7 linked regions of the Cricetulus griseus genome follow. The protein of the gene in region 3 interacts with the protein of the main gene of each other region in a pairwise test. Links are inferred from orthologs where the notes say so. Each region holds a gene or a part of one and is shown on either strand. Other genes may lie near its edges.

Region 1 (4,102 bases), on a different chromosome or scaffold from region 3:
TCCTTCAGCTTCTGGATGGTCAGCTGGTCTTTCTGTTTGGCTTTCTCATAGGTGCCCAGCAGTTCAGACACCTCAGAGATTTGATTCTCCAGGGCTGCAACCCTTTGTTCTTCTACCTGACACTGCTGGCGAAGCTGGTCCTCCGCAAGGGCTGTCTGCAAAGCAAAGGACAGGTGGTGATGCTTCCAGAAAGGGCACAAAACCCTACTACAGTCACCTGGGTGTGGAGGAGCAAGACATGGAAGTCATGGGTCATGGGATTAGGGTGTCCTGGAAGTGGTGGGAACTGGGATTTTTAATTGAAGTTCCCTTGTGGACGTGCAGTTTCTAGGACAGCTTTCCATTTTTTATTGAGCTTGAATACAAAGTACATTCCTACTAACCATGTGCTTCTCGGATTATTTAAACAAGTTGTGTAACTTCTTTTTCCTTTTCCTCTCTACACTGAAAGGAAACACTATGAAACAGGAGTTTTCCAAAACAGGTAAACCTCAGACGAAGGCATACTTTTTTTTTTTTTTCTGGGAAAATCTCCTTTGCCTCCTTCAGTCCCTCTACCTATAAGCACATACTTCTCAAAACATACGTAACCTTTCACTGCACAGCTGTCACGATATTGCCTCAAACAGCACAGCTGGTAAGGCGCCAGCACCCAGAGGCCTAGATAAGGCTACCTGGCTTGGACCCAGAAATACTCAGAAACTCCTCATCCTGTTGCAAGGACAGTACACAAAACAAGACTTCCTAGGACGCACTGCTGGAATTTTTCAGTTGGCATCAAACATCAGAGTGTGAGTGCCTGCTGGGAATGTGGAACCGGACTGCAATCCCAGCACTCAAGAGGCCAACAAGCACCAGGCCATCCTGACTAAAGCAACTAGTCAAGTCCCCAGCACTTTGTAGCGAAAAGCAGGCAGATCTCTGTGAGTTCAAGACCAGACTGGATTACATGGGGGGACCCTGCCTCATGAAACACACAGAGAGAGAGAGAGGGAGAGAGAGAGAGAGAGAGAGAGAGAGAGAGAGAGAGAGAGAGAGAGAGAGAGAGAGAGAATCTATTCTAATGGCCAAAAGAGAACAATAATAAAACCCTAGTATTTCCTAGTTAAGTTTTTGGGTTTTTTTGTTGTTGTTGTTGTTGTTTGGGTTTTTTTTGTTTGTTTGTTTTGGTTTTTTGAGACAGGGTTTCTCTGTGTAGCTTTGGAGCCTATCCTGGCACTCGCTCTGGAGACCAGGCTGGCCTTGAACTCACAGAGATCCACCTGCCTCTGCCTCCCGAGTGCTGGGATTAAAGGCTTGCGCCTGCCCCTAGTTAAGTTAAAATAATGGTTTGACGGATATGAGAATAATTACCTTCCTCATTTCTTGCTGCAGCTGGGCCTGGAAATGGCTTTTAAGACGGGCAGCCTCTTGCTGAAGCTCTTGCAGCCGCGGGTCTGGTCGGTTCTTCTCATCTTGAATGGCTTGCAGCTCACCTTTCAGCTCCTCTACCTCACGGGTCAGCTGCTTGGTCTGCAGTTCAAAGCCTTCTATCTGATCAGCTGCATATGCCCGCCCTGCCAGGGCTTCTCTGGTCTCTTCTAACCGAAGTTCCAGGTCCTGACGCTGGGTCCTTTCCTCCTGCAACAGCTTCTGCAGCTCTCGCAGCATCACAGCGTGGTCACTCTGCTCCTGGGCGCGATCGTGCTGCTGTGTGATAAGTCGGGCTTTGGTTTCTGCTATCTGCTCCTGCAGCCCCTTCAATTCTCCCACCAGACGGTCCCTCTCTTCCTCTGCCTTTTTATTGGCATCCTCTAGGTCCTGTTTCATCTTCTTTTTGTCTGCCAGGTAAGATGCCTCCATACGGGACTTCTCCTGGGTGACTGTAGCCAAGGAGCTAGTCAAAGTAGCCAACTGAGTCTTCAGCTGATGTAGTCTCTTGTCCATCTCACTCCCCGCAGATGGCCCATCCCCACTGCTACTACTAACGCCACTCTCTGACCCACTGGCCTCTTCGGACTTTAGAGGAAGTGGTCCACGGGCCATTCTGTCATCTTCGACCCCAAACTCACCCTTGATACTCGTAAGACTGGCTGCAGTATCCAAGCTAGTGGCAGTTCCGGTGCTATCCTCACTGTGAGTGGAGCAACGATCATCCACAGAGTCAGGGAGCGTGAGACCTGGAGGCTGCACACTTGCAAGGCCTACATCCGCCTCATGGGATACCGACAGCACTTTGATGCTGGCCTCCAGGGCCTCTTTCTCCTTCAGTAGACTTTTATAGGCCCGGACCACATCCTTGAGTCTAGCCTGGTACTGGAGGAGCTGCTTTTTCTGTGTCTCTATAGTCTCCAGCAGGTCCTTTTTGCTTGGGCCGCCCCCGAAATTCATTCCAAACTTCTCCATGGGGGTTCTGGAGCGGTTTGCTCCACCTCAGTGTTCTGGCAGCCGTGGACAGAGCCTCAAAAACATCTACAAGTGAAGTAGAGAGGACCGTCTGGCCGCAGGCCGCACACCCAGCTGTCCGGGCGGGTTGAGGGGCCGCGGTAGCCAGGCAAAAGCGCTGCCGAGCCGGACCCAAGGTGGAAGCCGGTTCCAACCTGGAGGCGGGGCAACGCTGGCCCAGCAGAAGCGCTCAGCCTCGGCTCTCCAACACTGGCCCAGAGGCCGCTCCACCCCAGCCGCTCCGCTGACCACCAAACCCAGGCCCGCCCACCTCCGCCCAGGATCGGCCCAGGGTTTACACTAAGCTCCGATCCATCTCGATTTCCTAACTCCGGCCGGCTGGCAGCACCGCTTCCGGATCCACTGGAAATGACGGCAGCAAAACGCCACAGACCCCGCCTCCAAGATGCGCGAGGTGGGCGGGGCTTCCGCAGCCAGGGTGCGCTGACAGCCTGGAGAGGGAGTAACCAGAGGGGATGGTTGGGAAAAGCCAAGTCCGGGACACCTGAGCAGTGATTTGGAGAAGATGCCTAACTTTGCCCCCAAACTACCACCAGCGAGCGACAGGGGGCGACGTCGCACTGCGTTTGCCCCAAAAATCCCGGGTTGGAAAGAAGCGTACAACTATTTGGGGCAATGTCCAATATATCCCTAAAAAGCAACAGGACTCATACTAGAAAAACAAGCCCAGCACCTGGCTAACATAAAGCAAAAATAGCCCGCTTCCTTAGTTCTGCTTTTAGATGGACACTAATATAGCTATAAGGTTTATCTTGAATATTGGTATATGGTAGGGGTCTCACAAGAGTTTTTGCTGTTTATTCTGTTCAGAGGATATCATAAACACCAATTTACAGTTGTGGAAGCATACACTGCACAGAGGTGACTTATCCAAAGCCATTCAGCTACTGCTAAGTTTAAGAATCCTACCTCGGTCCACTTCTCAAGGTATTAAGTGCCACGCCAGGCAGCACCCTGAAGAAACATGGTCTTGCTGCCAAGAAACTTGTCACAGCAAGGAACCAGACATGCAAACAAGTAGACCCTGCCCTCACACTGGAATGTGTGGGCATCGTCAAAGTGGTATAAAAGAGATGAAGATGCCTGTCTAGAAGGATGGGGATTCTCGGGGAGAACATTTTTGGGATTTGAAGAATGAGTAAAGACTGCCAAGCAAATTCAAACGTGGGAAACCAGTATCAAAGAAAGTGGAAAAGTTTACAAGAATCATTCCTAAACAGTAGCGTGGGGTGAGAGAGGCGCAGCTACTGATGAGGCTGGAACAGGTAGGACCCAACTTAAAGGCATTTCATCTCGGGCGTCGACACATTAAAAGATTTAATCTCAAGAGGACACCGTCGAGACTCTTGTGGGGCCTGTAAGATGGCTCAGCAGTAAAGGCACTTTCCACCAAGCCCCAACGACCTGACCAGAGTTCTATCAAGAGAACCCACATGGCCGAAGAAGAAAACACATCCCACAGGAGGTTGTCTTCTGACTTCTACACCACGCCCCCCCCACACACACACACACACACACGAGAAATAAAAGTGGGGAGGGGCTAAAAAGCAAGGCTCCTGTGACATTGTGAAGGCACCAAGGGGGCGGGAAGCCTGTGAGGAGACTCAGGCATAAAAAGAGACTAGTGAAATAGTAGTGACAACAGGGATGAAGAGAG
Region 2 (3,500 bases), on a different chromosome or scaffold from region 3:
GCCTCAATCCCTTGCCACTGGCGCCTGGGGGCTTCCTCAGCTTCCTCTTCACTGTCATCTTCATTGTCCTCCTCAGAGTCCTGGTCCACCTCCTGCATAGGGGGACCCTTCCTCCCAGCTGGCGGCTCCTGTTGTCCATTGTGCTGGGGCAAGGGAACCCGGCTGGAGGACTGCAGCTCAGGAATGTTGTAGTGGACTGACGTGTCGACCTTGTGGTTCTGCTCTGCAGACAGCACAGCTGAGCTTCCTGGGGAGGAGAAAATGAGGATCTTGAAGGGCAGGGCTCAACTGAAAGTCATCCATGGAGACAAACATGCACCAGAGTTCCGATCCCATGGGCACATCTGTAACTTTGTAAGCACAGCCTCCTTCATGAGGGCAGGGCAGAGGTGTTCCCTGACCAAGACATGGACTGTCCCTCTAGAAGGAGATGGCTCAGTCTTGCTGGTGGCCTCACTTGAAAACTATTAAGCAACGTGTCCCTTAGATGCCACTTCAAAGAGCCTGTCCATTTTAAGGAGCAGGGAGCAATCTGCTGCCTCTGGCCAAAGCACCATCTTTCCAATAAACTCACAAAGACCCAGTTAGCACCTCTCTCCTGGGGCTTTTCCTCACAGGTGAGGCAACATGAGGCCAGAGGTCAACTCTGGTTTTCTTCCTCTATTGCTCTCCTGTTTTGTTTAGTCTGGCTGGCCAGCAAACTTCAGGAATGCTGCCTCCGCCTCTAACCAGCCACCTGAGCTCTTGCCTTTGCTTCCTGGGCTCCAGCAGCAGAGTCAGCTCAGTGACACACTCTGTCTGTGAGCTTGGTATGAAGCCGTTAACATGGACTGGAGGGCATGGTGACTGAATTATTCCTGCTGGGGGAGCAGGGCAGGAAAACTGCTATCCCTACAATCACTGGGCCCTGGGGGGATGGACACACAGTACCTTGGCAACGAACCAGAAAAGATCTCCAAGTGAGTTTATGTGGTTGTTGGAAAGGTCACTGCTGTGGACTGCACTCGCACAGAGGACACTTGCTCTGGCCTTACTGAACTGCCATTTGCTAACTAAGGTGCGTGGTTCTTGACCAGGTGCTTTAGGTCCTGCTACAAGTCTGAAAGAAGCTGAGGTTCACCTCACCCACTCCCATGCCCAGTGAGACCTTTAATGCTTTACAGGCATTAAAGTTTAAGAGGTACTATTAATACGTGAATGGCCTAACAGGTGACGGGGGCATGTGGCCTGTTACCTTTATGTTTCTGCAGAGCCTTCTGTGTGGACTGCAGTACTGACTCATGGAACTGATGTGCAAACTCTTCTGCCATGAAGGGTTCCCAAGGCTTGCTCTTCCCATTGATGCTGTGGGACAACGGCACAGGAATGTCCTTGGGCGCAGCGCCCCGGAGATAATGAAGCATGCTCAGGTTCTTCTTGCCCCCGGGGGCCTCACTCAGCCTGGCCTTCTCACCGCTGGTAGGCGCTGGCTCCTGGACCCTCAAGAGCTCCTGAGGCCGGAGCTGTTCCAGTCTCCCAGTCTCCACGGCCTTTGGGACATCTGACAAGGAGGCAGGGACTCCGGCAGGTTGATCTGTCTCTAGAGGAGCTGGCTGTGTGGCTGGTTCTTTGAAAGACAGAAAATGAGGGAAAGAAAGGTTATAAGTTGTGGAAAAACAGGCACAAGGACCCTGTTGACCGCTAGAGCTTACATCTGCAGAAAGGAAGACCCAGTGTGAACATCCTATGTTAACACTGCATGAGGCTAGAGTCTGAAGAGTAGCATGTTTAGCAGCAAGTCCAACTGTGAACAGTTCCCAGAAGACAGGTGGGGAGAAAGAGCAGCAGGAAGCGCTGAGAAGGCAGGAGTAAGTAACTTCATCCAACTTAGGGAGATCAGGTGAAGAGGCAGCAAGAGATGGGACCCCAAGGCTTCAGCTTCCTTCAGCTGGAGAGCAGCAGAGAGGAGTAAGAGAGCAGGTGTCTGGAGAGCCAGGCAGGGTCTGTAGCACAACCTCCGCTGGGGACAACACTCCAGGGGCTTCGGGCCCATTCTCTGGGGGATGACAGCTACGGCCCGCAGCTGATGGGCAGCTCCATGAAGTCAGCGCCCTCCCCTGAACTTCAAGCCCACTTTCTAATTTGCATTGTGTCCTAAGGCACAACCAGGATGGTGGTGGACCACACAAGAGGGTTGGAGAGAAGCCCAGCTTCCAGTAGGTCAAGTTCACCACGAAGACAAGACTTTGAGTGCCACTCTAACCCTGTGGCGCAAGCTACAGGACACTTGAGGGTGGGGTGTCCTTCCCTTACCACTCAGGGAGATGGAAGGACTGTCCCTCGAGGAGTTTGTCACTGAGTCTGCCACTGCTGCGGACAGTGCCCTCTGCTTCATGGCACGGAGCATTTCAACAAGCCTCTCTCTGTCTGTGAGGAAAGTAGCCCGAGGTTAGCAGTACTTCTGGGAGGGAGGAAAGGCGGGGTCTGGCCACCGTGATCAGCAAGTACAAGCCCTTTACACCAAGAGGCACCAAAGGCAAGCACCATGGCTGGCTGTGCAGACAGGAAGAAGCAGGTGACAGCAGCAGACTCTTTCCCTGCATGGCTCACACTCCAGGCAGCCACATCTATAGCCATGAGCAGCAGCTGCCTGGGGGCTTCCACGCTGACTTCCTTCTTAGCAGATAATCTGGTTTGAAGACCAGGGGTGGCCCCAACACAAGGGCACCACCCCCAGAGACCAGGAAGGGAGCCATTTCCCGCGAAGGAGAGCAGACCCTACAGTGCTCCATGCCGAAGATTCCCGTTTAGGTGACTCTTCCTGCCAACTCTGAAACTTAAGAGGCTTTAGTACTGATGGCGTCCTTTAGACACGAAGCCAGGTGAAAAGTCGGGCTTGCAAACAACTAGGCATGTGTCCAAGGGCTTGTGCTGGCAGTCAGCCCGTCACCAACCCTTGCTGGGAAAGTGAGACCTCCACCATGCTTGTTAAAAAAACGGAAAAAGGAACTGCCAACTCCAATAAAGAGGAAGCATGTCAAACCAACTGAAGACCTAGAGAGGCACTGTTTTCCTGGAACTCTTTGTGGAAGAGGCCAGTGCCCTTAAGGGGCCCAAGACATACAGGAGCATGGCTGTGTACATCAATGCTCTAGCCCACGACGGTGGCAAGCTGATCAAGGAGGCCTCAGCATGTTGTGGCCACACCGTGTCTTCTATGCTATGGATTCCAGTTCCAAGTCTCTTTTTTCCAACATGGCCCTAGGATAGCAGACTGATCTGGAAGCATCTTTCTGGGCAAGTTGTTGAGTGCTTACTGTGAGTTGGCTGGGCTTGGTATTCACAGGCCACCCATATGGCTTGCTCTCCAGGCCTCCTAGCATTAAAAGCAGTGCTCCGTAGAGCTCACTGGTGTCCCCAAGGGGAAGGGCCTGTGGTATGCAAACCTTTAACACCCTACAACAGGAAGCAACACCTCCTCTCAGTCCTAGTGAAAGCCCTGGAAGTACTCTGTTCAAAGA
Region 3 (4,226 bases):
ACCAGGGAATGCCTGGCAAGGTGCTGTGCAGCTTGTAAGAAGTTTGGGGGGGGATGGGAACTACCGATCTCTAGTCTAGTAGAGTGAGATGAGTTCTTGTTTGTTTGTTTTCTATCTCTCGAGTCCCTGTCCCAGCGCTGGGGTCGCTTAGGAGCCCAGGGCACTAGATCAGGTCTAGAGTCCTGAGTTTTTGAATTTCAGCCTTCCTTCTTGAACTCTGGACAAACACAACTTTTTAGGACTTGGAGACTCATGTATGCCGAATAAGAAGTAGTACTAAACTCTTGACCTGGAATAGGATAAGATTTGAGCTCAGCCCTTGGCATTCGGTGCTCCCTTGGAATGGCAGTTAGGATTAATGCCAGAGGACAAAAGGGCAGGTCGCCCACCCCTCAGAGGCTCTTAAGTATGTCTGTAGTGGTGGGGGTGGAGACAGTGTTTCATTTTGACTTACTTCAAAGGGGAAGCTCTCTGGGGTCTTCCCGGCTGCACCCCGCCCCCACTCCACCAGCGGACCTTGGATACGAACGCCTGGCCCGTGTCCCCGCGCACCCAGCCGCCGAGCCGTTGCGCTTGAACCCACAGAAAGAATCCCAGCTCTCGACGGCAGGGGAGTGGGAGATACTCGGCACGCAAATCTGCTGACCCCCGCCCCGGCCCACCCTGCCCAATCGGCGCCCTTTTAAGGGTTGGGACCCTCTGCGGTGCTGGGTCTCAGTTCTGCGCGGAGGCGCTACAGGTGTCCGCTGGGGACCTAGGCCAGGCTGACTGCCAGCACAACACCGCATAGGAGATTTCTTTCTAGGGAGGCAGAACAGCAGTAGCAGCAGCAGAGAGAGAGGGACAGAAGGGGGCAGCCGGGAGAGCTAAAGCCAGGAACTGCGGTGGGCGAGGGCCGTTAGCCCTTGGCGTGCACCGGATCTCTGGGAAGGTGGGAGGAGACAGTCCCATGGCCTGCCCCCACCCAGTCTAGTACAGTGCCCAGCCCTTACTCAGCCCTCCTGGCGGCTTGACAGGCGAGAATGGGCTGAGTCACAGGCCCTGAAAGGTGTCACAGGGGTGTCGCAACGGGGGTGTGCCGGGTTCTGTGGGGAGAGCCAGTCCTCCCCTCCAGTCGTTCCCAGATGTCATTCTGCCCGCCCAGGCGCTTGGTTCCTGAGTTCCGGGGCATTCCACGGTTACTAAGTTACTGGTTTTTGTTGACTTTTAAATATTTTCTTCTACGGGAGAGGGGGAGGGGGGCAAAAGTCAGGAAAGAGCAAATAAAAGCAAGTCAACATAAGCCCCCCTTCCCCAAAAGAAAGTTGCCCCCTACTCCTCATCCCCACCCAAACAAAACGCCTCTGAAACCCATCCCTTGGCTGGAGCATCAGCCAGCTAGAACTGACTACTTCCCAGGCCCAGTCTTTAGCTCCCTTTCTGGTGAATGAGGGCTGGTGGTGGACAGTCCCTTTGTCTCCCAGCCCTGGGTGGACAAAGGGGCTTCCGGAAAGAGAGAAAGAGGATGGCCAGTGGAAATGGGCTCCCTCCATCCTCGGCCATGGTGGCCAAGCGTCCCTCCGCCCTGGGGCCATTCCCCAGATACGTGTGGATCCACCAGGACACACCCCAGGATAGCCTAGATAAGATTTGCCATGACATCTGGAAGAGAGTTCAGGGCTTGCCGGAGTCCCTGCAACCCAGGACCTCGCTGGAGAAACTCTCGGCGCCGATGACCGCGACTGTCAGCTTCCAAGAAGAGTGAGTAGTGCCCTGTTTGGTTGATTATCAAGGAATGGAGGGAGGGGAAATGAAGTCTGACTTAGGGTTGAACTCTCTCTGGCCAGTGTTAAACTCTATAAACATTTTCTTCATCCCTTAGTATGGGTAGTTTGGAGGAGGGAGCTGGCCACGGTGCTGAAATTCCAGGAGCAAGGGAAGAAACCATTCCTGATGGCTTCTTTCCAGATACTAAGGAGACATTGTCATTCTAAAGGCATAGACAACTAAGATGAAAATCTGGGGTCCTGGCAAGAGTATTCTCACCAAGCCTAGGGGTAATATCACTGTCCCCAGAGGCAACTAGGTGATCTTTCCCCTCTCCCAAGAAAAGTTCAGGCATTGGCACAGATGAGTCTGATGGCTGGAAACCACATCTGGAATCCCCTAATACAGAGAGCAGCTGTCCCATTCAGCATCCACAGAGCTACTGCAAGAGCGCACATCAAAATATTTACTGGGAAGGCATTGACATATTCAGAGGACATAATAGAAAATTAAAGTGCGGGAAGATGACTGTAAATAGCCGGTTTCCCGGATGGGAAATCCCATGTCTGGGAAACACAGAGCTAAGTGTTTCTGCACTAGGAAAAAGTTGAAGAGATATTGTTGGGGCTGGATATTGGAAATGAGAGGAAGGAGCAGAGAGGAAGAAGGGATCTCATTAGGAGAAGGAGTGCATTCGTTTTGGTGATTAATGTCACTGCTGAGTACTCTTTCAAGGCTCTGCACCTTCAAAGTGGGCTGCAAGCGTTAATTAATCCTCCCAGCATCCCTATGAAACAGGTATTAGTGTCCCCATTTTACAGATGGATTAAGTGTTAATAATTAAGTGCCAATTAAAGCCTAAGTGATAATTAAGTGTTGTCTGCCCCCAACACATGCTCCAACTCAGTTCAGAGATGGGGGAACCATTCAGGCATTTATCAGCTGCCTCAGGTTTCAGGGCTCTCTAAGCAATAGCTGAGAGGGAAAGAAAAGTATAGCAGATGCTCAGGTCTGCACTTCCTGCAATCCCTTTGCAAGCTCCTTTGCTTGATGCAGATGAAGGTAGAAGGCATGCTGGCTGCTTCTGCCTCCTCTGCCCTATGCTCAGCAGGACCCGGCTCAGATGGAAATGGCCTTTCTATAGCCAGAATCCTGTGGCTAGTCTTTTCAGTGGCACCGAGCTCCTCTGTCTTGTTCATTGCCATCTGCTCTGGGACAGTGCCTTGGCATGGGAAACCTTGGGGGCTGTACTCAGCTCTCTCAATGGCCAAGGAGCTGATTGTCCACTTTCTGGATCATAGGTCAGTAGCAATTTCCAGTAGATAGCCCCTTCTCTGCCAGGTCACACTGAATTCATGGAGACAGACTCTACTTCCAGTCCACACTTGGCCAGAAATTGAACTAGCCTACCTTTGGCCAGTTGATTCATTCTGTTTGGCCCTGATTTCCTCATCTGCAAATTGAGGATGATGTGCCCTGCCTTGTCAACTCAGAGTCGATAATGAGGGTCAAATGTGATGGGAAACAAAGAAATGAAAGATGCATTATAGAAACAAGACCGCCTTAATATGTAATGCACCGAGTTTTGGGGTGGGAGGGTTACTGCTGTTGGCTTTCTTCTGGAGTTTTCATGTGGTCTCCAAGTCCCAAGGGTGCTTCACACAGCCACCCTAGAGTCAAGTGGGTTGTCTGCTGGGTCCCACACATACTTTAGTCAGAGCTGTTCAGGCTTTTGTTGGTTTTACTACTGGAGTTCTGAGTATGGTTGCATTTGAAAGAGTTTGGTGACTGAGAAGAGACCCAGGAAACCACCTACTTGGAGGAATAAACCACATCATAGTTGTAGCTATCCACCTGGTAGAACACAATGAGAACTTCATGAAATGAAAGCCAGTGCTTCTGGAGTCAGACAACCAGGTTCAGCCCCGCGCTGGATGCAGAACTGTGACTGTATGGTGGATCTTAACTTTGGTCATCTGCCAAATGGAGGTGACAGTAGGGGTTGCTGGAGGTGGCAAATCTGAATCGTTCAATGGTCCTGCTAGTAATTAGGATTCATAAATTCCTTCTAAGAACAGCAGTTATAATTTCTGTAAATCTTGAAATTTTTGCAGGCAAGAGGTAGTACCTTTTCAAATTCCCCATTCTTTTTTCACTATACAAATTTGCAAACCCCCAAAATAAAGGTAGCGAGAGCCTATAGATCTAAATTTTTAATTTTTTTTTAATTTTTTATTTTCTGTGCACTCATGTTTTGCCTGCATATATATCTGTGGGAACCCCATGTTCTGAGTGATGAAGGGTAAACTTTAAAACTAGAGGGCACACCACTGTTTCTTATGTGTTCAGATACACACCTGCTGGGTTTTCCCCTGCCTAATGTGTAGAGTTTTGATGGGGGAGGTCCTTCTGTGCATATGTTTGTCTTATTGGCTGATAAATAAAGTACTGTTGGCCAACAGGGAAGCAAGATAGGTTGG
Region 4 (4,086 bases), on a different chromosome or scaffold from region 3:
GTAATCTCTTATAAGACAGGGACTTTTGTCTACCCCGTGTATTTATAATTTGAGAAGAGCAACGGGTTCTAGGCTGGGAGAAGGCCCCTTGCATTCACCTCGAGCTGGCATTTTAGTGTAACAGCTGCGTGGATTCTCCAGTTAAGCCGCACCGCTCGGGGCTGCTTGCCCCGGGTAGGCTGATTCCAGGGAGAAAGCAGTGCCCCTAGAGCAGCGGGGGGCGGGGGGGGGGGGGCAGAGACCTCCTCGAGCCCCCACCCCTGCACAGACAGCACCCCAACCCCTGGCGTGTCCATCACCCCCAAGCTTCTTACAAAAGGGGAAATCCCTTTCTTGTGTTTATTTGCCAACGAGTCAGGCAAACAAACCGCCAGCTGAAAATCTCCCGGGCTCCTTAGTGTCCCAGCTGAGCAGTCTTGTTAATGGTCCAGCTCCTTTGATTGCTGGAGATGTGGGGCGCTCATACGTTCGCTCGCCCTCTCCCTCCCATCGGAGGATTTTAGCAGGCAAAATTTAAATTTTGGCGAGTCCTTTTTTAAAAAAAGAAAGAAACCCACAACCCTGCCCCTGGACCTCTTTGACAAATGAGAAGACTCCCAGCATCAGCACCAAGCGAGTGAGCTACAGTGAAGCTGTGAGTCAAAACCTCTCTCTCTCTCTCTCTCTCTCTCTCTCTCTCTCTCTCTCTCTCTCTCTCTCTCTCTCTCTCTCTCTCTCTCTCTCTCCCCAACCCCTCCCCCCTCTTCTCCTCTCCCTTCCTTCCTTCTCCTCCCCCTTCCCTACTACATATCCCTGTCTTCCCTCTCTAGCATCTCTATCAGGGCATCCTAACCCCTGTCTTTCATAGAAGTCGACTTTGCCCATTTTTGTCACCTTTAGGGGGTGGCGGAGGTGGGTGGGATGAGGGGCACCTTCCACTTTAAGAGCGCTCCAACAACAGGCCCAATAAGCCAAGGGGAGCCAACACTACTTCCCAGCCTCTCCAAGTGTCTTTAGTTGAAGGCTGATGAACGCTGGGTACTAGCAAACCCGAGGGCGAGGAGAGCCAGGGAGGAGGGACTCTCTTGGGGTGCGGTGGGGGGAGGGAGAAAGAGAGAGACGAAAGAGGAAGAGAGAGGAAGAGGGACAGCCACTGCTGCGTGAGTTAGATAATCAGCAAAAATTAAAAAGAAAAAAAAAAAAACTGTAGCGACTAGGCAAGAGGGTTAAAAAAAAAAAAAAGCAACGCGATTGTAGATTGTATGTGAGCATCTCCGCTCTCGCTCTGCGGGCACCCGAGAATCGCGATGCAGCATCCTCTGACGGGGGCCACCTGCGTGGCACTCCCCAACGTGGGCATGTGTCCCCAGCTCTCGTGTGCCTTGACTTTTATGTACTTACAGCAGGTAAGACGCGCGGCTCTTTCTCAGCGGCAGCTTCTTCTCAGCTTGACCAGACTGGGTACCGGTTCAGTGGGCTGCGCGTTGGGGGGTGGAGGGTGGGGGGTCTCGATCATTGGGACGAGGTTTGGTGGGAGCTTCTGGTTTTCCGTTAAGCCACGATGCTATTTTAATTCACCTGTCTGAATACTTTGTGAACACCGATTTCCAGCCTCAGGGACCGGGAATTTGAAAATAAAAAACTGGCTTTTTCTTGTGAGCATCTTTTCTCATGTCAGAAGTCCCAGAGGTGGGGTGAGGGGAGATTTCTAGGATGTTGAGAGAGTTTGGGGCTCTGTGAAGACATCCTGATGTTTGTAGTTTTAATTCAGCTGTTTTAATGATTGACACAAAGTGTGCATGTAGTGTGTGTGTGTGTGTGTGTGTGTGTGTGTGTGTGTGAGAGAGAGAGAGAGAGAGAGAGAGAGAGATCTTTGTTAAGTTTGTGTTATCTATCCATCCACAAGAATCAGTACATTGGGATATCTGGAGCTTGACAGCCCCCCTACCCAATCTTCTTTGAAACTCCCCAGCATTGGGTGAGCATGGGTAGATGCTGTCTTGACTGGCCGGAACACAGGGTGGTTTGTTTGCTTCTTTGGTTGTTTCTATAACCCAGGCCTGTCCACTCCCTGACAGTGGTCTTGCCAGATGTCTGTTGGCTTCATTCCCACCCAGTCCACATCTGTGAATTTTTGGATTCAGTTCTTGCTCTGAGTGTCTGCTCTGGGCCTCAATGGGTCTCCTCCTCCCTCTTACTAGAAAGGCTTCTGCCGAGTACAATACTCCGGGGCTTTGGAAACCACCTAACACTGTCCTGTGGGGAAGCAGGCCAGCTGTATCACGGGGCGGGGTCTGTGGCAGTGAGTTGGCAATATTAGAGGGGTTTTGTCTGCTGGTGGGAATCCATGACCCGACTCACTTTGGCCTGTCCTATGAAGTTTTCACCGGGGGTAATCCTTTTGCCTGCCTTTCAATGAATTCACTTTAAGAATAAGATTGGTTACATGTGTGTGTTAACAAAACTTCTTTTCCAAGAGTTGAAAGGAGCCCCTTTCCTCCAAGATGTCCCACTCTAATTTGTGCTACAGAAATATATGTCTTCATAAAATGTCAGGGGTTCTGTTTTGAACATTCGGGTAATTTGTTATCAGCTCGGTTGCCAATTTTTTTCCTCCTCATATTTACTGCTGCTAGTCTTTTTTTGAGAATAGCTCCTTAAAAACATCTTGTGAATAAATTGGTTTATACATGTATTTGTTTTATTTTGTTTCCCATTTAGTCAATCATACCAGGAACCATCTCTTAGGAAGGTATTGATAATATATGTGATTCATCAGCATGTACCATTTCCTTGCCTCAGTTGTGAGTGTGTGTCAAGTGCCGGTGCATTTTACATCAGTTATTTGTCACAGAAACATTCCAGTAAACATTTCTTCAGTTGCTAAACCTCAGCTGGATTGAATCAAACAAATTACTAGAGCAACTGGTTTTTTATCCTATATTTGTGCCTTTCATTTTATTTATGAATCAACTGGATTATGTTATTTAAGACGTAGAATGTTATGAGTGCGCAGTGCTTACTCTGTTTCTGGGGCTTATGTGTTTTAACTAATCTGTATTTCTGCTTCATCATTAAACTGGTTTGCTCATTGAAGAATTTAGGAAGGAGGACAGTGGCTTTGAACAAGAATCTATTCTTCTGTGAAAAGGAAGGGTGCATCATGTGGCACCAATCTTTCCCACTGTGGAATGCACCTGCTTTGGAGAGGAGCCTCACAGGAAGTGCTGGCAGCCATAACAAATATTTAGAGGTGACTAAATCAACAGCACGATTCCCCAGGAAGGTAGATGGGGGACGGTCTTTGAAATGAGGTCTCAATGTGTTCTCCCCACGACTGAGTGAGGCATGGGGTCAGAAAGGTGAGAGTGACAGAAGTATGTCCCTTACTGAGGTTTACTAAAATTCTGAAGTATAAAAAACGGGCAGACATTTATTTTTGCTTGTCCTATTTACAATCAAGGTTTTTAGCTGCCACCACTACCCTTTCCTAAAATTCACTATCAGAGACCTGTGCCTTGGGGTCATCTCTTCTGACCTTTTAACGCCATGATTCAAAGTCAAGGTCAGAAAACTGGCTGATTTACAGAGGAGACAGTCCCTTTCATCTCCACAGGCCACATATCAGTACAGACTACACATCTTCTGCCCGTGTGGAACCACTATACTTTTTTCTGCTACTAATCTATGGCTAATATTACATATCCATGTATTTGATAAGCAGAGAGCTAGTTCATACTTTCAAAGCATATTCATCAAATAGATGACTGAATCATGCTTCATTTATGAATAACAATACCTTCATTAGAAGAATTAAATTTTGTGTGTAGGAAAAAGGTATGTGTCAGAAACCACTGTCCTCTTCATCGCCAGTTTACATACAAAAATAATTAAAATCCTCCTATCTTTTGTGAAACATTTCTCATCCTGTTTTTATCCATGCACACGGTCTCATGTGTTGGGGACTCCTGGGTCCTCACTGAAATATTTTATCTTAGAATGAAGTCTTATATAGGGACTATCTCTTACCCAGCACTCAAGGAAAATGACTCGGTTATATGTGTTCACTGGCCTTGATCTTAACAACCCGTTCCTTCCTAGATACTA
Region 5 (3,500 bases), on a different chromosome or scaffold from region 3:
ACACACACACACACACACACACACACACACACACACACACACACACGGAGACAGAGAGAGAGAGAGAGAGAGAGAGAGAGAGAGAGAGAGAGAGAGAGAGAGTTTTCCTAATTGATTTCAGTGAGTAATGCAGAGATGAAGACAATATAATTCTGTACTCAAGGAGCTCACTGTTGTACAGGGCTGGTGAGCCTGTAAACAATGAAGCACATGAATTATGAATTAAGCACCAAGGAATTCCACCTGAGGCTCAGGCAGGCAGGGGTGGAGGGATGGGGGGTGGCAAACACAGCTGGAGCTGTAACACTGGACACATGCAATCCAAGTAGAGTCTGTAGGACACCTGGCCCAATACAGACAACACCTGGCCAGATGGGTAAAGCAGAAACAGGCAGATGAGCAGGCTCACCTGCTGGGCCATGGAGCCCCGAAGGTCCTGTAGCATATCCAGCATCTGGAAGATGTCAAATACATGCACCACCTGTATCCTCTGGAGAGCACCTGCCTGAGGGGTGGGACAGAGAAGCAGGGACTTGGAAAGGAGATCCCGGAAAGCAATAAATGTAATCACAAAGCTGCAAAAGCAAAGAGGCACTTAGACACAGTGCTGGCATCGGAATGGCAAATGGGTTTTGCCTAATGGGCTGGATCTCACAGTGGTGACTACCTGGGTGCTGAGCTGTAAGACATTCAGGATCCAGCAGGAAGGACAGATATGATTGATTAGTGATGCCTGCCCTGGCAAGAAATGGGCTGGAAACACAGATACAGGCCTTTGCCGCCTCTGATTTATGGTACTCGAGGACTTGGAAGTTCCTGGAGAATCAGTGTGGGTGGCATCCAAGCTGGGATGATGACATTAACATGAGCAGCTCTAGGAATGCAGAGGACGCTCCAGTTTCAAAGTAAGAAATGATGATTCTCATAGATGGTGTATATTCTTACAATGTAGTCATGAAGTCTTCTAACATGAGGATTTTAAAGGAACCCAGCCATCTTGCCCCCTACCTGTTTCTCCTCATCTTGGGTTCTAGCCTGTAGTAGCTGCAGGAGGCGGGATGCTGTCATTCCTCCACTGGAATCAACATACAGTACATTCTGCTGCAGGCTATGGGCCACATTTGCAGCCACACACAGGCACACCTTTCAGAGACAAGATAGGGAACTGAGTAAACCTAAGCCCTTGGAGAAGAGGATCTCACCAGGCAGCTTCTCCACTGAATCCTGCCCAGATTCCAACAACATACACTGGCTAAGGCCACACTCATTCTCAGCCCCTATGTGGTCTGTTCTGACCTTCCAACAACACAGAGACACATGCAAGAACTCCCTGAGGAATCCAGGTCAATGCACCCACCTCCCCCAACCCTCCCCTCTGTTGGCTCCAAGGGTACCTGGGTTTTTCCGCTACCTGGACCTCCTACAATTTCAGTCACCTCCCCTGTATAGAGGCCAGCATCAAGTAGTTTGTCCAGGCTGATGGTTGGAAGGGGATGGAAAAAGAAAGGAGAGAAGAAGCTGTATTAAGTCTGCAGATAAGGCCGGGCATTGGTGGAGCACACCTTTAATCCCAGCACTTGGGAAGCAGAGGCAGGAGCATCTCTGTGAGTTCGAGGCCAGCCTGGTCTACAGAGGGAGTGCCAGGATAGGCTCCAAAGCTACACAGAGAAACCCTGTCTCGAAAAACAAAAACAAAAATCTGCAGATAAATTTGGACTGGGGCAATAGCAACATGAGACCTGACCCAAAAAAAAAAAAAAAAAAAAAAAAAAATATATATATATATATATTATATATATAGTATATATATATATATATATAAAAGCTTAATGGTAGAGTAGTTGCTTATTATATGCAAACCCTGAGTTCAATCTCTAGTATGGGTGGCAGGTCAGGAAGGAGGTTGGAGGTTGGGGAGCGTTGGCATTCACTATTGTAGAATCTTGTAATTCATGAGCACAGAAAGTCTCTCCATTTATTTGATTCACCTTTGATCTTCTTCATCAGCATTTTTTATTTTCAGCATACAAATTCTACATGGTCTTTGTCAGACTTAGACCTATGTATTTCATTTCCTTAGATGTGGCAGCAAATGGCATTGCGTTTTTAATTTCAGTTTTCAAATGTTCATTGTGAGTTTACCGAAATGCAATTGATTTTTACGTGTTGATCTTGTATCCCCAGACCTTGCTAAACTCGATTATTAGTTCTGGGAGTTTGTAATTATTTTTTATTTGCTTGTTTTTGTCTGCCTCCCTCATCTGGTAGGAGCATCCCGGGGGGGGGGGGGGCAAAGACTGGGTCTTTATCCTTGTTTTGTCTCCAGTATTAGCACAGAGCCGAAAACCCTGAAGGCACACAGTAAATGTTACTGAAGAAATGACAAGAACAGTGGCTTGAATGTCAAAACTCAGGCTGTGGAATCCTTGAGATGAACTTCAAAACATGGTCACTTCCTAACCTCACTCCTGTCCCCAACCAACATGAAAACAAGTTACCACTACTCTCCATGTGCTGCCCAGGACGGGGGTGGGGGTGGGGGTGGGCTAAAGTTTCTGTGTGGCAGGCAGCCTGGATCAATGCCTGACTGTCATACACCTCCCTTCCTAACTCGGCAAATATAGTCAAAGACTGCACTGCAGGCCTCTGAAGAGGTTCTTGATGACCAACCATGACATATCAGCACATGACAAGCAGCAACCAGTCACCACTCCACCTATTTTAACTCCAGGGACCACAGGCTCCTGCCTGTCAAAATCTGGTCCTTACTCCAGCTCTGTGGCTTCTGTGTACATCCTGGGTGTGTTTAATAAGCCTCTACTTAATAGGTCTCCAGCCTCTGCTTCTGAATCCCATTCTCCCTGAGACACCAGAAGCCCAGGTCCATCATAGCAGCTCTTCTTGGTGTGTTCTCCAACAGCATCAGCAACACAGTGAGAGACTCTAGACTTAGATCCTGCTTCTGAACAGAGTTTAAAAACTCCATCCAGGTTAGGCTGGCATGAGGGCTTGGTCAATAAAAGTGCTTGCCTTCCAAGCATGAGGTCCTTAGTTTGAGCCAAAGAACATACTAAAAAAAACTGGGGACTGGAGAGATGGCTCAGCAGTTAAGAGCAATGACTACTCTTCCAGAGTAGCGCCTACATGGCAGCTCACAACTGTCTGTAACTCCAAGATCTGACACCCTCACACAGACATGCATGCAGACAAAACACCAATGCACATAGAATAAAAATAAATTTAAAAAAATCTGTGAGGGGCCTCTGGAGACAAGAGGTATCAGATGCCCTGGGTGGTTGTGAGCCAACTTTTCATACCTACACCCTGTCTGAAAGAAATCTCTTGTCACTGGGCGGTGGTGGCGCACGCCTTTAGTCCCAGCACTCAGGAGGCAGAGGCAGGTGGATGTCTGTGAGTTTGAGACTAGCCTGGTCTACAAGAGCTAGTTCCAGGACAGCCTCCAAAGCCACAGAGAAACCCTGAAACCCTGTCTCAAAAAA
Region 6 (4,028 bases), on a different chromosome or scaffold from region 3:
TTTTTAAAAAATTAAAAGAAAATTGCAGAGCTGGAGAGATGGCTCAGCGGTTAAGAGAATTGGCTGCTCTTCCAAAAGATGTGGTTTTAATTCCCAGCACCCACGTAGCAGCTCACAACTGTCTGTAACTCCAGTTTGAGGAGATCCAACATCTTCACACAGCTATACATGAAGGCAAAACACCAATGCACATAAGAAAGAAAGAAAGAAAGAAAGAAAGAAAGAAAGAAAGAAAGAAAAGAATTGCCAGGTGTACTGGTACACACCGTCAATCCCCTGCATTTAGGAAAGTCAGGCAGATCTGTTTGTGTTCAAGGCCAGCCTGGTCTACATAGTGAGTTCTAAGACAGCCAGAGTTACATAGTAAGATCCTATCTCAAAACACTTAAAAAAAGAAAATCATGTGAATATGTGGGTGTTTGTCTATTATGTAATATGTGCAGATGTCAAGAGCGTTGGATCCCTTGGAGCTGGAGTTATGTATAACTGAGAGCTGTGACCTGGATGTTGGAAACTGAATTCTTGATTCTCTACAAGGACGTCAAATGCTCTTGGCCGCTGAGCCATCTTGCAGCTCCAAGACCCTTTCTTTAAAAACAAAAAATAAAAAAACTAGAGCCCCCTCCTTTAATCCCAGCATGGATGGTAGAGGCAGGTGGCTATCTGAGTTTGAAGCCAGACAGATCTACACAGTTCCAGGCCAGCCAAGGCTACACAGTGAGACCCTGTCTCAGAAATTTAAAGCAAACAAAAATCGTTAGACAGCGCGCACTTGACCGCCCAGCGTCCATCCCTTTAACCCAGCAGTCGAATGAATGAACTAAGTTCCCAGTTGCATAGTAAGAGAGCTAAATGAATAGAACGAACGTTCGAGTTCTGGGAGCTTCCAACCCTCCCTCCATTCCTCCTGGAGGCGCTAAAGACCCAAGATCAGCCTGCGCCAGCCAACCCCTCTCCCGGGATCAGTTAAGTCTTCCCTCTCTTTCCCGCCCGGCCGCCCGCCAGTCGGGTTTGAAAAACCAAACCCCCTGCGGTGGCGGGCAGCCACACCGGTTGCCGCCCGCTGGCCAATCACGAGATGCACCACCTCTCTGGGCGAGACAAACCTTCCCAGTAACGCACGATGATTGGCTGAGGTCGCCGGTAGGCGGGACGCATGGAGGTCGGGTGCTGGGCACACCGGCTCCCGCTACTCTGTAGCGAGTTTGTAAGAAAACAAGGGCGCTGTGGGGCGGGGCCTGTGGCGCGCTAGCTCCGCCCACTGGAGGCTGTCTAGGGAGGCGGCGAGCGCCGGCTCAGAGCAGACCCCGCCTGCGCCAGCGGAGGAGGGAGGGTGAGTCTGGGGAGACCCGGCCCAAGGGGCGGGTGCCCAAGGGTTGGGCGGGGTTCCCTGCGGCCTCTCACGGTGACAGGGGGAGGAGCCGGGTGCGAGAGCCGGGGTCGTGCGGGACCGAGGGCCAAGGGTCTGCGGCAGGGGAGTAGCCGTAGAGTAGGCCCCAGTGTCGCCACAGCCCCAGGGAAAGGAAGCCCTCGTGTTCCGATCCAGCCCTTGCTGGTTCCACAGCCTTGACCTGGACTGGGCTTGGGGCTGGGTGGGTTTCACAGACCACCCGCGTCACGATGCTCCTGGAAGAAGTCCGCGTCGGCGACCGGCTGAGTGGCGCAGCGGCCCGTGGCGACGTGCAAGAGGTGCGCCGCCTTCTGCACCGGGAGCTGGTGCATCCTGACGCTCTGAACCGCTTTGGCAAGACGGCCTTGCAGGTGAGGCCTGTCTGACACCCGGCGCCCACACCCCATCCTTCCTTGTCTCCTGACCCGGCTTGGTGATCCCCTTGAGGACCATTCCTTGTTTGCACCAATGTTGGGTGGGGTAATGCGGGGGGGGGGCACGGGGAGAGGATGACTTTTCAGCTCTAAAGAATCCCTTGTCTTCAAGCCTAAAAGATTCAGTTTTGCTGCAGACTTTTATTCCGTGGGTGGGTTGTGGTTCAGCTTCTTTTCATTCCAGTCTTTGCGGACAGCTCAAATTTTGGGAGGGCCTCTAAGAAGGCATTCGATCTCAGGAAGGTAGGATGCTCCTCCAAGGGATAGAGCTATTTTTTGTAGGAGTCCTTTTTAAGGGTCTCTGGTTATTTGGGGGTGGGGGAAGTCTTCATTTCTGAAAGTGATGTGGATTTTTTTTTTTAATCTTCTGAGTGCCCCAGTTACAAAAAAAAAAAAAAAAAAAAAAAAAACCTATTGCTTGACGGCCCCATAATTTGGGGTGGACTTTGTACAGGGTCCCACTTTTTCATGGGTGCACATATATTCTGAACATCATGCCTATGTCTAAACTTTTCCCTAGCAGGGTGTTGGTGGCACACTCCTTTAATCCCAACACTAGGGAGGCAGAGGCAGAGGTAGAGGCAGGAGGATCTCTGTGAGTTTGACACCAGCCTGGTCTACAAGAGCTAGTTCCAGGACAACCTCCAAAGCCACAGAGAAACCCTGTCTCGAAAAAAATAAATAAATAAAAAAACAAAAAAACACACAAAAAAATTTTTTCCCTAGAGAAAGGGGATCCAAATTCTCTAGAGCATTTTTTTTTCTCAAAAATTCTAAGTAGTTCTCAGAAAACAAGGTTGCATTGTCTGGAGGGGTTTAACAGCTCTAGTGATCTCCCATATGGGGGTGCCCTGTCCCTGAGGGAGGCTCTTGGATCCTTGAGAGTTTTCACCCTCCCTTCCTGTCCTTCCTTTCCCCATTCCCTTCATTCTCTTTCTTCTTCATTACTTTTTTATTTATGAGACAAGGTCTCACTCTGTATCAGGCTGGCCTTAAATTTGAGGCTATCTTTCTGGCTCGTCCTCCCAAGTGCAGGGATTACAGGAGTGGTCACTATGCCTGGCCCCTTAAAGTTTTCATGAGAGTCACTTTTGGAGTTAGAGTCTTTTGTATTGGTAAATGATCTCTCTTTCTCTCTCTCTCTCTCTCTCTCTCTCTCTCTCTCTCTCTCTCTCTCTCTCTCTGTGTGTGTGTGTGTGTGTGTGTGTGTGTGTGTATGGTCCTTATTTCCAAAGAACCTGTTTTCTGGGGTCCCAAGCAGCTCCCTGGGGGCCTGTCTCTCTTGGGGTGTCCCTGTTCATTAAAGGGCCCCTTCACTGGCACTCTGGATTTCTGGTAGACCTCTCTTTCTGCTTGACCACTTTCCAGTGGGAACCTCCTGACTTTCTGTTCCCCACCCCCATAGGTCATGATGTTTGGAAGTCCAGCAGTTGCTCTGGAACTCCTAAAGCAAGGTGCTAGCCCCAATGTCCAAGATGCCTCTGGTACCAGTCCAGTGCATGATGCAGCTCGCACTGGGTTCCTGGACACCTTGAAGGTCCTGGTGGAGCATGGCGCTGATGTCAATGCCCTGGACGGCACCGGGTCACTCCCCATCCATCTGGCAATAAAAGAGGGCCATAGCTCTGTGGTCAGCTTCCTGGCTCCCGAATCTGACCTCCATCACAGGGACACTTCGGGTCTCACCCCCCTGGAGTTGGCCCAGCAGAGAGGAGATCAGAACCTTATGGACATCCTGCAGAGACACATGGTGATCCCAATGTGACCCAGGGCCGCTGTCTCCAGCCAAGGAGCCTCACTGGGTTACAAGTCAACAGAGAAGAAAAGAAACTTTCGCTCTTTATTCCCATCCATTGAAGAAGGGAGTGGGAGGAGCATTTTGTGGTTTATTGGTGTTGGTTTCTTGAGTGAGTGTGTTTGGGGGACTTTCTCATGTGTTTTTCTCACCCCGTTTGGTGTGTTGGACAGAGCAGGGGCTCCTACAGGCAACAGCCGCCTAAACGGTTCAGTTTTCCCTGCACCTGGCCGCAGAGACCTCAGGGCAGAGGTTTAAAGCCCTAGCCTCAGAGTGAGGTCATCGTCTCCTGAGCTCCTGGAAGCTGGTGACCTTGGAAGGCTGTGCTCAGAGAGCCCTAAGTGTGAGCCACCTACTTTGGGCATGGGAGGGAGAGGGGAAAACGTTTCGAATCAGTTAAAAAGATAGT
Region 7 (3,957 bases), on a different chromosome or scaffold from region 3:
TTCTGGCCTCCTGGCTCCTGAGCCCTGCAGGCCTCAGGGAAACTTCACTGGTTTTTCTTTACCCATCTCATCTGTCTAACTTCTTTTGGTTGCAAATGGTATGGTTATGCCAGGAAGTTCCTTACAGGAACTAAACTAAACTAAACGCGTGGCAGCAGGATGCCGCCGTCCTTATGATACAGTACTCACAGATACCACTTATTACTAACAATAGGGAATGGCGAGGAACAGGAAGGGCAGATAGAGCACTTTTATCCTCTATATTTTAGGGACAAGTTGGTAAGATGTATTGTAGAAAGGAATCTGCACACACCCCTGTTCATGGTCTGCTATTCTGAGTTAACCTCTGGCCCAGGAGGCACCGGGAGGAACACAGGACTTGATATTTTAAGAATGTCCAAACCCAGTTAACAGAGACTGTAACGGAGAAGAGCAGACAGACAATCAGGAGGAATGCATAGACATCATGAACTTCAGGGTCTAGGCTGATCTCCTGACCAGCAGGCCAAGACTGAGTAGGAATAGCAGACTGTGCAATGTCAGACTGCCTCCGTTTCCCCCTTGCTGTACCACCTGTCAACTGCAGCTGACTTATTAGAGCCTGTTCAACGGTATGAACACGGCCTCCCTCTCAGATCACTGGCTCTCTGCAAACCTACAACCTAAAGGTACAGTTTCCAGAGATAGATAAGAGATAGATAGCAGACAGACATAGTGAGAGGAGCCACCAGTTTCATAAATTCAGTCTTTATTATCAGGGAATTTACTTACAAAGATATGCTAACATCCTTACTTACTGAACATCTACTGTGTGTCTGACAGAAAAACACCTTTGATTCCTGCCCTGAGGAAGAACAGTGGGAAATCTCTCATACACAAAATAAACATCACAGACACTAGAGAAACCAGGACAAGCACCTGCCTGGCTAGAGGGTCTCTTTTGGGGCCATCTGTCCTAACCAAATCCTGCTGACCACACAGAGGCAAAGCTTCCTGGGCCCAGGAAACACTCCAAGCACCCTAAGGAAGGAGCCAGCAGCAACAGTACTCCCAGCTACATGCCCTTCTCCACTCTAGAAGGCAAAACCACAGCACAGGCTGGCAGACACACAGCCATGTTTGGTCAATGACTCCTTCAGCAAACACACATCACCCTAAGTCAGCAGGCAGTAAATCCCAGCTGCCACCTCACTGTTTCCTGTAAAGTGGGACAAGTCACTTCCTGCACTGGTTGCCTCAAAGACCACAAGAGACCAGTCTTTCTATCCTAGTAAACCACACACACACACACACACACACACACACACACACACACACACACACACACACACACACACACACACCACAGAGAGGGGGGAGGAGGGAGGAAGGGAGGGGGAGGGAGGGAGGGAGAGGGAGGTAGGCTTCTTTGGAGGGATTAATCAGTGTGTTCTGAATTAGACATGCAGTCTCTAGAATCTGTAACCTTTCCACCTACTCTAAAACACTGGGAATTACTCCACTCCTTCATGAGGTCTCTTTGTAAACCACTATGCATCTGAAAGTTAAGATACAACAAACAATTTCTGCTTATCCCAAATAAAATCCCTGACCTCCCAAGGTCTCAGTCTAGCTGCGTAACAATTAAATGTAATAAAAAGGAGTTACGCTTGAACTAAAGACAGGGTAAGACTGCCGACCATGGAAGTGCAGTAGAACAGGAGGGCCCACCAGAGCCAGGCAATGGCAGGCGACAAGTAACCCGAGGGTCTCAGTGAGGCAGTAGCGGTCCCTTGCGGGGCCTGAGACGTCCCATCCTCAGCAGTGCGCCCCCACCACCTCCTCACCCGCCATGGGTGGAGAAGGGGGGGTCAGGACTAAGCGGCTCTACGGAAGATACCATCAGGATAGGGGACACGGGGAAGGATGCTCTGGGTTGGGGAGGATATAACCAGGATGTGGGCCTTTGGGGAGCCCGGAAAGGGCTCTAGGAGAAGGGGAGGGGCACCAGAATGGGCCAGAAGTAGGGAAGGGAGGGAAAAGATTATGGTGGGGAACACTGGGGAAACCCGCGGGGACCCAGGGAAAGGGGGGGCGCTAGGCTAGACAGAGCATTAAGAAAGACTACGCAGGGAAGACAGATCAGGATGGAGACAATGAACAGGGTAGGGGGAAGAGACAGAGACCTCGAAGGGGAATACAACCAGCGTGGGGGACACTGGGGACAGGGAAGGAGACAGGAGGTGGAGGGAATACAAGTAGTGCAGAGGCTGAGGCAATACAATCAGGATAAGGGACTCCGGAGAGGCAGGAGCTGGTGGGGGCGGGATACAATCAGGAAGGGCGACATCAGAGAAGAGGGAGGGGCGTGGGTCAGAATGGAGACATTCGAGAAAGGGAAGAGAGCGAGAAGGGGTGGTGGCGGGGGGACTTTGGGGAAGGGAGAAGCAACAGTGGCTGAGAGGGGTCACCGAAGAGAGGACGTGAGGCTGAGGAAGTGGGCGCGGCCAGCAAGGTTGGAGTGCCCAAGAGCCGGGCTTGGAGAGGGAGTGTTGGCGAAGGTGGTTACCCCCCACCCCGGAGGGACGTGGAGCAGGGCCGGATGGGGTACTCCGGCAGGGGAGGTCCCGGGAAGGGGTCGCACGCGGGCGCAGTGGGGCACCGCGGGCACAGTCACCTGCGAATGTTCGGTCCGCTAGGCAAGAATCAGGCTGGGAGTGCAAGGTCGCCGGCTTCTTCTGCTCTTTGCTGAACGCGCAAGTCCAGGTCCTGCGTCACCGCCCGGCGCGCATGCGCGGGAGGCAGGTGCCTGCCTGGGTGCAGGGCCGGCCGGCGCCGAGTCTGAGCAGTTCCTCCTAACTGGGGCTTAGTTATCTATCACCTCAAAGGCGGTTCTAAGTTTTCTGAACTTGGCCTCCAAACTCAGCTTCCCGGAGAAGTTGTATGACTGCCTAACTGGGGTAAACCAAGGGCGAGCAGAGCCTGCTTTGAGCCAGAATTGAGAACAGCGTGCTCGGAAACTAGAAAATGAAGATGTCAAAACTGAAACAGCAACCGAGGAACAAAGCTGGAATCCTTCGCAATAAGTCACAAAGAATTGTTATAACTTAGAATATAAAGTAAAACGATTACAGAAATAAGTGAGGCCAGGCGGTGGTGGTGCACGCCTTTAATCCCAGCACTCGGGAGGCAGAGGCAGAGGATCTCTGTGATTTCGAGACCAGCGTGGTCTACAAGAGCTAGTTCCAGCACAACCTCTAAAGCCACAGAGACCCTGTATGAAAAACCAAAGGGGAAAAAAAAGAAAAAGAAAAAAGAAAGAAAGAAAGAAAGAAAGAAAGAAAGAAAGAAAGAAAGAAAGAAAGAAAGGAGTTTGGAAGGATCCGTGTGTGTTAGCACAGAACCCAGAACTGTGGAGGCTGAGTCAAGAGGATCACGAGTTTCAGGCCAGTCTGGGCTACACAGCCACTGTCATAAAAAACAAACAAACAACAAATAAAAAAAAAAACTAGCTCATAAAGAGGGCATGGTGGTACACAACTGTAATTGCAACACTTGGGAAATGAAGTAGGAAGACTTCAAGAAGCCCAAGGTCATTCTTGCCTACATAGTGAGCTCAAGGACAGCCTGGGAATCCAGGGGAGCCCATTTCCATAATATATATATATATATATATATATATATATATATATATGTATATATATATATATATATATATATATTATATATACTACCATACTTTTTTGTATATTGGACAAGGCACCGAATACTCCCCAGAATGGGAACAGGCCTGAGCAAGCATAAGACTCAGGACCACCTGTTACTCTTTTGTTTAAAAAGAAGAAAAGAGAAATGCTGAGACAGACATACTTACTATAAGTTTATTATAAGGCCCGGCAGAATGGGGAGACTAAGAAGAGGAACAGGGGTAAATGGCTGACCACCATGGCTGGTCACCATAGAGAGAGCACATAGGTG

The links.
Region 1: the proteins of CUNH1orf94 (region 3) and Gcc1 interact in binary tests that used the Homo sapiens proteins (3 or more experiments, as listed by UniProt). The two-hybrid records come from large-scale screens. The link is inferred for Cricetulus griseus from reciprocal best matches to the Homo sapiens genes C1orf94 and GCC1.
Region 2: the proteins of CUNH1orf94 (region 3) and Gse1 interact in binary tests that used the Homo sapiens proteins (3 or more experiments, as listed by UniProt). The link is inferred for Cricetulus griseus from reciprocal best matches to the Homo sapiens genes C1orf94 and GSE1.
Region 4: the proteins of CUNH1orf94 (region 3) and Rbfox1 interact in binary tests that used the Homo sapiens proteins (3 or more experiments, as listed by UniProt). The link is inferred for Cricetulus griseus from reciprocal best matches to the Homo sapiens genes C1orf94 and RBFOX1.
Region 5: the proteins of CUNH1orf94 (region 3) and Rad51d interact in binary tests that used the Homo sapiens proteins (3 or more experiments, as listed by UniProt). The two-hybrid records come from large-scale screens. The link is inferred for Cricetulus griseus from reciprocal best matches to the Homo sapiens genes C1orf94 and RAD51D.
Region 6: the proteins of CUNH1orf94 (region 3) and Cdkn2d interact in binary tests that used the Homo sapiens proteins (3 or more experiments, as listed by UniProt). The two-hybrid records come from large-scale screens. The link is inferred for Cricetulus griseus from reciprocal best matches to the Homo sapiens genes C1orf94 and CDKN2D.
Region 7: the proteins of CUNH1orf94 (region 3) and Plekhb2 interact in binary tests that used the Homo sapiens proteins (3 or more experiments, as listed by UniProt). The two-hybrid records come from large-scale screens. The link is inferred for Cricetulus griseus from reciprocal best matches to the Homo sapiens genes C1orf94 and PLEKHB2.

The regions. Positions count from the first base shown.
Region 1 is NW_023276806.1:199,371,218-199,375,319, reverse strand, and holds the start of Gcc1 (GRIP and coiled-coil domain-containing protein 1), read right to left. Parts: upstream 2,801-4,102; 5' UTR 2,386-2,800; coding exon 1,354-2,385; intron 156-1,353; coding exon 1-155. UniProt on the Homo sapiens protein: Probably involved in maintaining Golgi structure.
Region 2 is NC_048596.1:197,195,858-197,199,357, reverse strand, and holds part of Gse1 (genetic suppressor element 1), read right to left. Parts: intron 2,407-3,500; coding exon 2,293-2,406; intron 1,607-2,292; coding exon 1,235-1,606; intron 248-1,234; coding exon 1-247.
Region 3 is NC_048595.1:25,030,073-25,034,298, forward strand, and holds the start of CUNH1orf94 (uncharacterized protein C1orf94 homolog), read left to right. Parts: upstream 1-1,426; coding exon 1,427-1,740; intron 1,741-4,226.
Region 4 is NC_048600.1:39,617,981-39,622,066, reverse strand, and holds the start of Rbfox1 (RNA binding protein fox-1 homolog 1), read left to right. Parts: upstream 1-1,286; coding exon 1,287-1,385; intron 1,386-4,086. UniProt on the Homo sapiens protein: RNA-binding protein that regulates alternative splicing events by binding to 5'-UGCAUGU-3' elements. Regulates alternative splicing of tissue-specific exons and of differentially spliced exons during erythropoiesis.
Region 5 is NC_048600.1:96,305,149-96,308,648, forward strand, and holds part of Rad51d (DNA repair protein RAD51 homolog 4), read right to left. Parts: intron 1,477-3,500; coding exon 1,395-1,476; intron 1,144-1,394; coding exon 1,009-1,143; intron 506-1,008; coding exon 410-505; intron 1-409. UniProt on the Homo sapiens protein: Involved in the homologous recombination repair (HRR) pathway of double-stranded DNA breaks arising during DNA replication or induced by DNA-damaging agents. Bind to single-stranded DNA (ssDNA) and has DNA-dependent ATPase activity.
Region 6 is NC_048597.1:134,146,785-134,150,812, reverse strand, and holds the start of Cdkn2d (cyclin-dependent kinase 4 inhibitor D), read left to right. Parts: upstream 1-1,228; 5' UTR 1,229-1,333; intron 1,334-1,394; exon of another isoform or gene 1,395-1,605; 5' UTR 1,606-1,620; coding exon 1,621-1,761; intron 1,762-3,229; coding exon 3,230-3,589; 3' UTR 3,590-4,028. UniProt on the Homo sapiens protein: Interacts strongly with CDK4 and CDK6 and inhibits them.
Region 7 is NW_023276807.1:13,223,288-13,227,244, forward strand, and holds the start of Plekhb2 (pleckstrin homology domain-containing family B member 2), read right to left. Parts: upstream 2,801-3,957; 5' UTR 2,657-2,800; intron 1-2,656. UniProt on the Homo sapiens protein: Involved in retrograde transport of recycling endosomes.